Linked DNA regions of Drosophila melanogaster. The protein of the gene in region 1 interacts with the protein of each later gene in a pairwise test. Each region holds a gene or a part of one and is shown in the gene's direction. Other genes may lie near its edges. The genes, in order: CG13907 and CG13949.

Evidence for each region.
Region 2: the proteins of CG13907 (region 1) and CG13949 interact in a two-hybrid assay, tested with the Drosophila melanogaster proteins (one large-scale study listed by BioGRID).

The regions. Positions count from the first base shown.
Region 1 is NT_037436.4:879,166-886,281, reverse strand, and holds the start of CG13907 (uncharacterized protein), read left to right. Parts: upstream 1-4,268; 5' UTR 4,269-5,378; coding exon 5,379-7,116.
Region 2 is NT_033779.5:853,092-860,003, forward strand, and holds CG13949 (uncharacterized protein), read left to right. Parts: upstream 1-2,379; 5' UTR 2,380-2,458; coding exon 2,459-2,532; intron 2,533-2,595; coding exon 2,596-2,719; intron 2,720-2,776; coding exon 2,777-3,016; 3' UTR 3,017-3,548; downstream 3,549-6,912. Other genes in the region: kraken, read left to right, coding at 101-187, 454-1,292.

The DNA.
Region 1 (7,116 bases):
GGCCCGCCAAGCTTCATTGGTTCAAATGAATTTGTTTTCCAGTCTCAAATTGCACTTGATCAGGCCACATACACAATATATATATATGTATGGGCATATATTTGGGGAAAAGAAAGAAAGAAAGATTTCGTAATTGTTTCCGTTCCCTAACCAAACATAAACATCCAATGAATATGGGTCCAACTCGGTTAAGTCACTGGCATTCCGAGAGCCTCCCCCCTTTTCCACAATTCATTTGTTGCTGTTATTGAACGCGCGATTTTATTCAATTTTTTATTAGCTAGCAACAGAAATCGTAGGAACCGGTGGCCGAGACCCGCTCTATGAGTAATTTATGCTTATTGAGCTTCGATTCGATCCGAAAGTCACCAATTGTAAACACGATGTGTGGACGCCTTTTAATTGAGCAAATCAGCAACAAAACCATATTTTCAGATATAAAAGTCGCACCACAAACAAATTATCGGAATCTAAATATAAAGTCATAAAAATAGTTATTAGCCTTATCTAACAGAAGCTTCATATATACATATATGCTTTACCGATTTCAAATATGCTTTCCTTATAATATTTGGTGTACAAAGCAATAGCACCATGTAATTCTATGCCTACAATAATAAGAAGTAATTCATTTTGTTGATTAGTTCTTTTAATCAGTTCCCTGACTCACAAGCAAAACGAAAACAAACCAAAGTGCGTGGCGGCTAAAGTTTATTTTGGAGAACAAAGAATCCAGTATAAAGAATACTGCAGTATATGCTATTATGACACATATAGATAGCAATAAATTGCTTTCTTGTGCTTAAATTATACAAACGCTGCACTTCTTGATATACATGGTTTTATACATTCACCGAATGAATCGAATGTGCGTTTAGTAATGCTCTTTACTTTTACCATATAAAATCTATACATCATTTAACCCATAAATATATTAATGCAATTTCGTTGTTGAAAAATAAATGTATAATATATCTTCTTTTCCCAAAATGCAATAGCATAAAAGAGAAGACGATACTTTTTCATTTTCCAGCCCACGCGTCGTATGCGTAATGTGAGTCACACACATTCGCACGCCTTCATTGCTGATTGAACTGACCCGTATGCAATGAAACGACTGGTCTTCCCATAACGAAGCTTATTCGCTGCCCCATTGAAATTGATAAGTAATCTGCTCAAGCGTTGGATAATTCATGGCGGATACGGAGCAATGTAGAATACAATGAAGAATGAGCACAGTTTCCACCGCCTGGCAACAGGGCCAAAAACGAATTGTTGCAGGCAATTCAATTGAATTCATTTGTGTCAATTTATAATAAATAATACCCTGCGCAAAGAAGACAAGCGGGGAAAAGCTTAGAACAATAAGTGAAATTGAATGCGAACGAAAATTGCATAATTCTGAGAGCCACGCGACCTTCGCCGCAGAAGAAAAACAAACAAACTATAAAGTTTTTGGTGCGGATAACACGGATAGAGGGGTAAGTAAGGGTTCTTCGCCACCTTATCGTCAAGTTATTTACAAGCTGTTGACGGTTTACTGCGAAGTGCCTTTAAAGCATCAACTGATAGGCATCGATGGTGCGGTGACGAGCGACAGAAGTTAACGTGAACTGACAGCCGTGGAATACAAGGACACGCGCTGAAATGTATCCTGGTGCCAACCGCCCCCACACGCCCACATTAACATATAAATGCGAGTAGCAGATTACGAAGGAGCGGAGCTCGGTTCAGTGTAACCCGTACATACAGTAGAACTCTGGGGAGAAGTCCGAGCACTTCACGAGATAAATTTAAACTTAAGTGGAACAAAAAACATGATTTGGAATCGGTAGTTTCGCATAGTCGCAAGTCTTCTGATATGACGATTTCCCACAATTCGGATTGATTATGGGCCAAGTTCGACTGTAGCTGCCAGATAGGCAATGTATCTGACAGATACTGAGGCCAGGCTCATCGGCAAAACGGGTGCCGCATACAAAGCAACGCAACAAGTTGAACAAGCAAAAAACAGCAAGGTAAAACAGTCGAAGCATCAAACTGCGTCATTTTGAAAACACAATATTCTACAAGCTGTATTTTTGTATCCGTCGCCGTGTATCTGTATCTGTATCTGTACCTGAATCGGGGCAATGGCAATGGCAAGGAAAGCGTTGTCAGCGTAAAAAAAAAAAAACGCTTAGCAGCCAAACAAAGCGAGAAAAGCATTGACTACACAACACGGCGTATGCGCAATTTTCATTTTCATTAACAAAGAAGGCATGGGAATTAGCAAGAAAGGGGATGGTGGACATGAAGGGGTGCTCTTAGTGGGGTGCTGCGAAGAGGGTGGGGTGACAATAATTGAAGAGTCATCACTGGTTCATTCAACCTTTCAGCAACGAGGAAATAAAGAACTGAGGAAAGCTCTTGGCCAGCTGGAGAAAAATCTTTTTGTGTTCTTGTCTGTGCAAAGCTCTGTTCCCTCAGCAAAAGATGAATAGTTCAAGGATAGTTTATTCATTGCAAAAAGTGAACATCTGTGACAGTGGGAAAAACAATTTACGCTCATAAAGTGGAAAGAAAAATGTCCCTTTTATCAAACTTGTCACGTTTACTTGAAATATTTTAATTAAAACTCAGTATTAAGTTTAGTCCTATTGTGTTTGATATTACCTTAAGTAGTTTTTCTCAGTGCATTGCCCTATTTCACCCACATTTCACTCGCTTGCGTTTGGTTTTTTGGCACAGAATTCTGTTTTAAATGGGCCAGCTAATTTCCCAAAGACACCTGGTGCAAACGGCCACTAAGCAATCCATCCCGCTCATTTTGGCCCCTGAAACTTTGGATATCGAGTGTCACGGGCAACGTCCTAGTTTTCCAAACGTCCTGAGTGCATTGCATTTTGCGGCACATGCAATTTTAATAAGAGGAATTCTAAACGCACACATTGCGGTATAACAGTTTTGCTGCGATTACCGCTGTTTCGGATTAAATTTCAGTTAGGTTAAGTGTGATTTGTAGGCACACGCAGATTGCTAGCCAAGATTGGAGGCGTTGGCCATTTGAGGCCCCACGTAATGCGTTAATAACAGAGCAGCAAATCGAGTTAGCGAATCGGAACACAAAAAATAACATGAAAGAATCGTGGGAAGAGCCAAAGTGGCGCCCTCTGGCGTTGACCCACAATATCGGAGGGGTTTCATTTTCCTTCCATGTGAGCGTGTGTTTGACATGGAATTTTTATGAATGACATTGACCAACCACCCAAGAAGAAGAAGAACTGCTCACATCCCCCCGAAGGAAAGAGAGAGCCAAAGAGAACGAAAGAATTCTCTTACGACGCCTCACCGCAACAAATACGACGAAAAAGTGCTAACCAAGCCGAAAAACTGTTATAAACAACCAGAAGACAAAAAGCACATTTTTACGATTTTACGACCTGGCAACAGACGAAAAAGTTGATAAACAAAATAACTAGAAATATCTCAAAAGGCCTTCTTATCAGCTGCGTGTCGAATGCATTTTATTATTTAGGCGAGCCAACTGTAAAGATAATGCGCGGATTATACAATGGTCGGCGCCTAAAAGGCGGCAGACAAAAGTAACACTTTCGCCCGAACACGCACTTAGAATGACAGTAGAACTTCCCTAAATGAAACTTACAGTTTGGGAGTTGCACTGTTATTATTAAAAATAATTAAAAATATAAAATATAAATATAAAATATAAAATATAAATATCTACTCTATGGAAGTGATTTGCCTTGATATTTTGAAAAAGCATTTAGCAGTGCATTTGTTACACATTCGCTACAAGAGTAGGAAAAACATCCGTATGTTCAAAATCTTTAAAAGTGTCTTTAAGAAAATGTAATTTCCGTGTAAGATGTCCTGCAAAATTTTGCGTAGCTTCTGAAAAGTAAAAGTTAACCTTTAACCTAAATCGGCAGTAAAGAGCAACAGTTTCTGCGCTCTTTGGTTTAGGAACGTTGTGCAGTATAACAGTTTGAACAATTGCTGTGGCCATGTGGCAAAAGGCGGTTACCGGTTTTTCAGGCTTTACCTTTTCAAATTCAAATCAAAGAAAAGCAAAGATGATAAAAAGAAGGGAGAAAGACAAAAAGACAACCCTTGGGCAAACAAAGAGGGGTTGTTTGTCTTGGCTCTCCCTATCACTGCCACTCTCCCGCTCTCGCGGCTATTTGTTTTTGTTTCAATCAGCTGTTTTTTGGGGACGAGAGAGCGCGAGTGGAGCTTGCGCTCTGTGAGCTTGAACTTCAAATGCAACAAAACGGGCGACAGAGCGAAGGAGAGAGGGCGAGTGTTTTTACAGAAACTTAGAATTTGTCTTTGTATATCGTATAACAGTCGCTATTTGCTGCCGTTACGAGGAATTTTCATTTTCATTTCGCAGCGGACGGCGCAGCAGTTCAGAACAAAACTCGGGGAATTCAAAATCGGAATCGGAGATTGTTATTTTTCGCCAGATTCGCAAAAAGCAAATGAAAATGTCGCCCAAATGCAACTGCAGCTAAAAGTTATCGAGTAGTGTGTGTGTGCCGCCGAGTGTGTGCGTGGTGTGCGCTTTTTATCGATCACACTCCGCTCTTCTTCCTCCTCCTTTCCACCTCACCTCCCCACCCCATACCAACTCAGACACTCTGTCACGCTCTCCAATCGAATTTCAAAGCTGAAAATCGAAAAATTATACAATTGCATTCGCAAATTACGACGTACACACGTACGTACGTACGTACAGCACCCCCAAAAAAGCTGAGGAAATCACAGAAACGCAAAATCAAAGTCAAAGAAAAATCAAAGCAAAGAACCAGCGAAAATCGGGCAAATTTAAGGAAAACAAACATTTTCTAGTGACCTCAGCTGCAGCTGCAAGTGCAAGTTAAAAATACACAAACAAAGCGGAAATAAGCGAAAATAAAGCACAAAAACCGCAAGGAAAATAGTAACGGTTAAGTTGAAACCAGCACAAAATAAAGTCAAACTGTTCAACTGGAGCTAAAATATTAATAAACCAGGCCAAAGGCAGCACTCGTCTAATATTTGCTTAAATACAGGCAGCCCACGCCTTTTATCGCTAGTGAATTTATGAATTTATCAAACTAAACGAAAACAAAAACTCAATAACAATTGACACACACTCACACAAAAGCCAACTGCAGTGGGAGAGCAGCGAAGAGCGAGCTTGCAAAGAGCGAGAGTGAAGAGATAAACTTGGGCTCTCTCCTTCGCATTTGGCATTCACACGCGGGCAGCGACGCCAAGCGGACGTTCCTCCTCCTTCTTCGCCCTTCGCACTTCACACTTTCTAGCCCACTTTTTCAACTCCACCAAAACCGCGTGTGTGCCCGGGAACCCTAACCCTTCGTCCCGCCAACATGGTGGATACAAACAGTTCAAATCCGGGAATCGTGGGTGGAAACTCCGCCTCGTCCGCCAGGCTGAGGAGATTCGAGCGGACGGACAGTGAGCTGGCCTGCGAGGAGGCGGCCAGGCTGACGGCGGAACAGAGTCCGGAGGACGAGGACAATCAGGACAACGACGAGGATGACGACGACGAGGAGAGCGTGTACGGGGAACTGCCGCCTCCGCCGGACGGAGGATACGGCTGGGTCATCTGCTTCGCCAGCTTCATGTGCAACATGATCGTGGACGGTATCGCCTACACGTTCGGCATCTTCCTGGAGGAGTTCGTGGCCTACTTCCACGAGGGCAAGGGTACGGTGGCCTGGGTGGGCAGTCTTCTGTCAGGAGTCTACCTCAGCGCCGGACCTATCGTTTCCGCCCTGGCCAACAAGTACGGATGCCGAGCCGTCTGCATAGCCGGGAGCATAATCGCCTGCATAGCCTTCGTCTTGAGTACGTTCAGTACCAACGTGAGCATGCTGATGGCCACCTATGGCTTCATGGGGGGATTCGGGTTCGGCATGATTTATCTGCCTGCTGTAGTGGCCGTGGGCTATTACTTTGAAACCAAGCGGAGTCTGGCCACAGGAATTGCGGTCTGCGGCTCTGGCTTTGGCACCTTCGCCTTTGCCCCGCTGGCCACCTATCTCCTGGAGGAGTACGGCTGGAAAAACGCCCTGCTCATCTTTGCTGGCCTGATCCTCAACTGCGCCATCTTCGGAGCCATGATGCGGCCACTGACCTACCCGAAAAAGAAGAAGCAGAAGCCCTTGATGCAAAGGATGTACGAGGAGAAGCAGCTGCAGCTGGAAAGGGGTTCCTTTGCGGGCTCCCACTTCATGGTGCAGTTACCGGATGGAACCATCGAGCGGAAACTGAAGATGCCGCTCAATGCGGATCCCGGTGTGCATTCCAGCTTGAATCTGGAGCTGCTGGCCCAACAGGCAGGCGGCGGAGGTCTGCATCCCGTCTCTACCCTGCCCACCATCACGGAGTCCAAAGTGGTGGATGTTCATCGACAGAACGGCGCGCAATCTCCACCAAATGGCGACAGCAATGGCCAGTTATCCGCTCGATCCGCCGCAGGTGCCGTCGGCCGCCGTCCTCACAGGAACTCGGAGTCGGAGAATAGTCCGTACCACTCGCAGGATGCCATGACCCGGAACGCATCGCAGCCCGCCTTCCTGGCCGGAGATCATCAGAGTTTGCCCAAAAACGGATCCGTGCCGGCATTCAACACGCGAGTTAGGAAAACCTCCGCCTCGGAGCGCTTCCAGCCTTCGCTGGCCGCCATCAGGGCCACTTCTCGCGGAGATTTGGAGGCAGGAGCAGGCGGTGACTTCGCCTCCTCGAAGTTGTCGCTTTCACAACGGCAGGGCGGCAGTCAAACTGGAAGCAGCGGCAGGATGGTGCGACCCATGTCCCGCAAGGATATCTTCTACTCGGGATCCGTGACGAACCTGCCGCAATATCAGTCCCAGAAGTCCTTGGCCAACTACAGGAATTCGGTGCTGTCGCTAACCAAGTACGAGAAGAGCATGCAGAGTGTGGCTAAATTGGATCCCTTGGCCGAGGCTGAGAAGCATCGCGAGGAGTATGACCTGTGTCCCTGCCTTGGCATTCCCGATTCCGTGAAGTCCGTGGTTAACACCATGTTGGATGTTAGCCTTCTGAAGGATCCCGTCTTCATGCTTATCGGAGTCTCGAATA
Region 2 (6,912 bases), on another chromosome or scaffold:
TTCACCTGGCCCGCGGGCGATTTCACCAGACGCAGACCATTTCGTCACAGCTTGCTTTGGTTTTAGTTGAATTACTTATGTGGATTCCCCCTGCTTTCAGATGGCCAGACGGAGGAGCCCCTGCAGCTGCTGGGCGAGGACAGCTGGGAGGAGTTCTCTATCGCGGTGCCCTGGGGAACCGTTGAGGGTGAGTCACCTGCCAGCCGTTTCCTAATCAACAGCATCGACCATTCATGGCAATCCGACGTGATTTTCGATGTGACGCGGCTAAAATATTTTGTTAGTTTCGACGCACTACAAGTGTTCTACTAACTGAGCCCAATAACGCTATCTCTTTGCTTGTTTTTTGAGTAATATTTTTTGGAAACATCACGCGATTCCCCTGAACGATTAACATACACGTGCTGAAACCAAGTTACATACATATGTACTAATCGATTTTCCCGCTTGCAGCCAAGTGGTGGGGCTCGAAGGAGAGGCAGCCCATCATCGCCCTGCACGGCTGGCAGGACAACTGCGGCAGCTTCGACAGGCTGTGCCCCCTGCTACCGGCGGACACCTCCATCCTGGCCATCGATCTGCCCGGGCACGGCAAGTCGTCGCACTATCCGATGGGCATGCAGTACTTCATCTTCTGGGACGGCATATGCCTGATTCGCCGGATAGTCCGCAAGTATAACTGGAAGAACGTCACTCTGCTGGGCCACTCGCTGGGCGGAGCTCTGACCTTCATGTACGCGGCCAGCTTTCCCACGGAGGTGGAGAAGCTGATCAACATCGATATCGCGGGTCCCACGGTGCGCGGCACCCAACGGATGGCGGAGGGCACTGGCAGGGCGCTGGACAAGTTCCTGGACTACGAAACCCTGCCGGAGAGCAAGCAGCCCTGCTACTCGTACGACGAGATGATCAAACTGGTGCTGGACGCGTACGATGGGTCCGTGGATGAGCCTTCGGTTCGTGTGCTCATGAACAGGGGAATGAGGCACAATCCGAGCAAGAATGGCTACCTCTTTGCCAGGGATCTGAGGCTAAAAGTAAGCCTGCTGGGCATGTTCACCGCCGAGCAGACGTTGGCCTACGCACGCCAGATTCGCTGTCGCGTGCTCAACATTCGGGGTATTCCCGGCATGAAGTTCGAGACGCCACAGGTGTATGCGGATGTGATTGCCACGCTGCGGGAGAATGCCGCGAAGGTGGTCTACGTTGAGGTGCCCGGCACCCATCATCTGCACCTGGTCACCCCGGATCGAGTGGCGCCCCACATTATTCGATTCCTGAAGGAGGCGTAAGATTCCATTACTTAAGTAGACGGCTAGATAGAGAGTACTGTGTGTGTATATAGTTAGTGTATTTCATCCCACTTGTGATGTACAGTGATCAAAGGTATGTGCCCGATTTGCACGGCTCTAAATGTTATAACAGATAATAAACACAAATTTATGACTAAACAAGGTAAAGTCTTTTCGTCACAGCTTTGCTACTTGGACTTTGTGCGGCGAGTTAGCTGTTTAGCAAAATATCTTCAAAGTAAATCTTTTAATAGCTACTATTCTCTTTTTAGCAAGTCACAGTTAAAAACACTTTTATTGGAGTGCTAAGCGAGTTTCGTGGTGAAAGCCCTTAATATTTAATTACCCTTATCTGATTGAGACGCAGACCTTTTCTCGACCTTTGAACCAAAGTATTGAAGGTCTCAAAAGATATCTAATGCTATAATCATCGCCTTTAGTCATCAAATTAGACAAAAAGAAACTTTAGGTAGTCGCGCCTAAAGTCGTAATTTGATTAAACAGAGATTAAAACCTGAAGGTGTAAAAACCGAAAAAGGTTCCACCTAGAAAATAAACTTGCGTCTCCTAGATAATGCTGACGTACATACATACATATATCTTCTATGAACAATAGAGCTATATAAAGTGAATATATATCAACTCTACGATAACTCAAATGAAAATTAATTTCGAATAGCAAGACAGTTGACAAAATTGGTTTATTCGAAAATATAATAAATCATGGGGAGATAAACTATCGCATTTTCCTATGTAATTACTTTCGCATTTATTGACTATTCAGATAAAGCTGAAATCTTTACAACCAACTGATATCGAAATAAAGGGTTCTCATTAACACTATGAAAATTGTTATGTTTGGTATGCTTTTTATTTTAGCATGTATCAAATATCTCCTTTCTCTTGTAATTTAAATTTGAAACCAATAAAATTTTTTTGGAGTGTAAAATAGTATTTTTAAATTCCATGTAAAATATCGTTGGCACTTAAGGGTTCATGCTACCGCTATATTTATCTATCTACGTGGCAACTCCATTCGTCTCCAAAAGTTTCCCCACGGCTGGCAACGCCTCGTAACGGTTGCCAAACAAATTACCGTTGCATGGCAACTCGTTTGTTTGGGCTTTTGTTTACAAATTTACAAAATCCGTTTGCAAGGACGCACAATGGACCTCATCAAGGAGATCAACGACAAATACATGGCCCTCGAGGCGGAGATCGACCAGAAACTGGAGAAAGTGTAGGTTGGTCATGGCACTGTGCAAGGATGATGTTACATACATATATTGGACTACATCTCTAGGCAAGCCGAGGAACTAAAACTGGAACGGCAGAACGAGCAGCTGGCCGAGTCTTCAATCTGTGCACCTGCTCCCAAGGTTCTGTCCTACGAAGAGGCTCTCCTGCGAAACACCAACACCTTGAAGGTAAGCCATCTCTTGGGATATCAGAGGTTCATAAGGTTGTTCCCATTCCCATTGCAGGCTCTGGAAATAGCCAAGGCCCGTTTGAGATCGCGTTCCACGTACTCTCCCGTGGAGAAACTCCTTCAACAGGCCCTGCAGAACTACCGACGGGAGCTGGAGAGTCTGCAGGACGCAGAGGATAGGGGCAAGGATCCGAAGAACCCAGACAACCAGGAGGAGGAGGGGGAGGAGGAAAATCTCTATGATCTGGTCATGCAGAATGTGATGGAGGCCAAGAGGCAACAGACCGATCTATAAGACATGTATTTCCCTGGAACTCGAGCAATTCGTGTGGCCACATTTGATCCAGTTGTATATATTGTTCACAAGTGAGACACTGCCAAGCTGAATAAACAAGCCGCAAGTGTACACATTTGCTGGAAATTGAATCGAGAAAGGTAGAATGCGAATGGGAATGCCAAGTGAAATGGGGTGTATGCTCACACATTCTGTTCCCACTTCAAACAATGATCGAAATGGAGCAAACAACGGTTGACGAAATGCAGCCGCAGCGGGCCACCTTGTTGCCATCCCAATCATCTAAGTGCCCCATCGACGACGATGTTCCCACCCTCGACGTTATCACCGCTGGAAGTATTGTGTATCTGCCAAGGCGAGAAGATATCTCCTGCAGTCAGGCAGGCAACATTAGAGCAAACACATTTACCTAATTAGTTGGCCATCTAACCACTTGGACATCGCCAAATCTGAGTGGAGCACGCCGAAAGGAAGCCCAGGCAATCAACTTGGTAATAAATCAATTAATGACACTCCGTCTCGTGCGAACATCAAAGAAAATTATGACTCTCTTGGCATGTTCGCCTTGTCTTCTGATAAAGTCGCCGGCGATAGCGCGGGTGGGTCGAAGGTGTCACTTGTCAGCGGTACAGCCGGGGTCATAGAGATATAAGCGATACTTATAACAGGGATTGTACCATAATCAGCCAAAAACTGTAATGGTGGGATCAACGAGTTTCTTTCTCTTCTAGGCATTAGATCAAATGGTGATCTTGGGCAGCCTATTACCTTACTACATTTCACCACTATCGTAGTGACCTGAGCTGTGAGCTGGCCTGAATGGATGCACCCGACCGGGGGTCGCAGGCAAAGGGAGCGGGCGAGAGCCCTCACCTGTGCGCACCACTACCTGTTCTGATAAGGCCAGCTATTGAGACAAATTGTGGGGCGACAGCTCCGTTTCCACTGGCATTTCCATTTCTATTTCATTTTCTTCTCAGCCCTTCGGCTACGTTGACAGCGGCGTTTAATGGCCAATACAAAGACAGCACGCACGCTCGGATGTGAGTGCTATCTCGGAATATCACCCACTTTCTGCTCCAGTTCAATATTTCATATTTATTTGCTTTCCGTTTCTGTTTTTCGGCTCTCCCGCTCCCGCTCCCACTCCTCTGCTGCTCGTTGCCGAGCTCCTGGCATTCGCACCTGTACAGGTGAGATATGGGCAACCGATCGACGATACTGGGTGTACTTCGTGGGGCCCCGATTCTTGGTCGGGAGCTGGTGTTTTAAACTTCACCGTCAAATCCGACGTTTCAGTTACGTTCCGAGTCGCGACAAGTGCATATTGTGCCGCCCGATCCAACCGATCGGCGGCTAGATATGGAGCACCCAGTGTGGAGGTGGCGGTGCCTACGTGTAGCTACTCCGACATGGAGCCATCCGAAACCCCTTCCGGGCAGCGAATTACTTGGGCCAAGGGAATGCAAACTGTGATCATCCCGAAAGTTTGTTCGTTTGGCTTAAGTTATTTTCATGTCCGACTAAAGCGCCACGTGGTGGAGATCGGATATACAAGGTGGATATGGTGGCCACCTCCCAAGGAAGTTGTCTTTCGGTCTGCTAACAGCTCGAGTGAACTAATGAGTTGGCCACGCTTGGTGATCCCAACTGGGTACGTCAGCAGGTGAGGATCGGGGGTGGGTCTGAACCCCATGAGCAGCGCCTCCTCGAAGGCCCATCGATCTGGAATGATTAGCCTGGCACTGATACCGAGAAGCGACGTGATTCGCTCCGCTCCCAAATAGCAGACGCCGGCTGATTAAATCCGCCGCCATACTCGGCTTCCGTTTGGGTTTCGGAGTCCGACTCCGACTCCGACTCCGAATCCGAATCCGAGTGGAGAACTGCTCTTCGGCTGGGGCTGGGGCTGGGAATCGGATACTCCACTTGGTGCGCTGGCACGGTCGCTCGGGGCCGTAAACCCATTATCACTATATTGGTTGTACGATTTGCGGATCCGTCGCCAGTTGGCCGACTGTAAAATCTGATTTCTGTAGACGTGTCGTCGCTTTGCCCCAACCGATTCGATACGGCTGGGGAAACTGACTTGGGAACGAGATAAGAGCTCTGGGAACTCTGGGAGCACCGAAAGAAAAACATACACAGTGTGCTGATCATTTCGAGGAATTATCTTACCACCCAGAAACTTATTTGATATGTCGATGATTATACGAGCTGATGATTGAAGATATATGAAGTAGGTATATTGAAGGTATCTTTTTTATCTATTTTCTTCCAGTGCAGTGGGGTGGCAAAGGGCTTTGTGGGTAGGGCAAACGTGGCACTCTCTCTATAAGGTAAAAAGGTAGCCGAAGCCAAACTGATAATTGTGCAACGTACACAAACCTTGCTCGCATTGCTCCACTTGCTTTCGGTTTATCAGTTGGAGTGACAAGCGGAAATTAAAGTTGAAATCGACACGATTATTTCATTAGTTCTGTTTGCGAAGGGCCGAACAAGTGGGCGGAGTGATCCGAAAGGTCGGATCCGAAAGGCAGGAGCTGGCAAGGTCACCCGGATGTTTATATTCGGCAGTCTAGTTGCCGATTGACGGATTGATTGTCAGTGGCCATAACTAACCAATTAGCGATTGCCATTCGTAGCAGGCAAAGCCAGGCACATCTTCGGATGGTTGGGTCGGGTGGGTCACCAGCTGGCCCGGGTGCTCCAAGGTGAAACGCAGCCAGAAATAAGTGCGCCCAGCCAAGTCGAGTTAAGCTGAAGACTTGGACCCAATTCGATCAGGTGCAAGCGACAGAAACAGCGAAGATGGCATAGACAAACAGAGGCCACGTTTTCGTTGGGGGAGTACAGTGAAGCCTCCAAGCAGGACCCCTCCTTTCGAAGAGATCTTAGATCTTAGATCTTGATCTTAGAAATAGTTCGATTAAGGCTAATAGAAATCAAAGCTCTGGCTGAGATCTGGGATCGGATGGATGGACTGGTCGCCTTTAAGGACCTTCCACTGTTCGAGGGCACGAGTGGAGCCCTGGGAAGATGTCATTGGTTTGGACGTGGACGAAAGCGAAAGGTGTAGACGGAGACAGAACTTCAGCGAATATGCCAAGGTACGTCAGGAGAAATGAATTACCCGGACTGGAGTCGTAGCTAGTTGGAAGGGGGATGTCTCGAGGAGGGGCTGGCAAAGTGCTCCAGCCCCCAAGTCGCACTTTACTGCAAATGCAAAAACTTTAGACAGGGAATCAATTGTTGTTACCTTGTTTTATTTCGCCCAAGACACGCAACAACAATGGAACCGTCAAAAGGGGAGAGGCCAAGATGGAGAACACGGCTAGAAGACATTCTAGTAATAGTGGTTACTAGGAGTACTAAAATGTAGCAGTAAGATATAAAAAGGATATGAGCCACCATCAAGGAGTGCCTATTCCTCCAACTAGCACTTATACTTTCTTAATATGAATTTAAGATGACAATTACAACATATTCCTTGTATTTTTATAACTAGTAGCTTGCAAAGTTATTCGGGCAATTAATTTTATGATCGGAAATTCATTATGCGATAAGCAGTTTTTCGAGTTAGGATCATAAATGTTTTATCTTCGAAAAAGTATTACAACGCTTCCGGGTTTCCCAAGTTATGTGGTGCAACAATACTGAATATTCAATATTTAAGCAAAAATAAGGATAATAACTTATCTTTGGCTAGTTTTTCTCCCAGTGTCGCTGGTAACTAGCAACAAATGGGCAGTCGGCAGTTGGGGGCGTGACAGCAACCGTGAAAAGAACTCGAGGATGACAGTTATGGGTTACAAAGGCAAGGATTGAATCAAATAAATAAACGCGCAAGGTTCTCGTCATGGAGCGCGGCTCACTGGGTCGGTTATTAGGTGGCC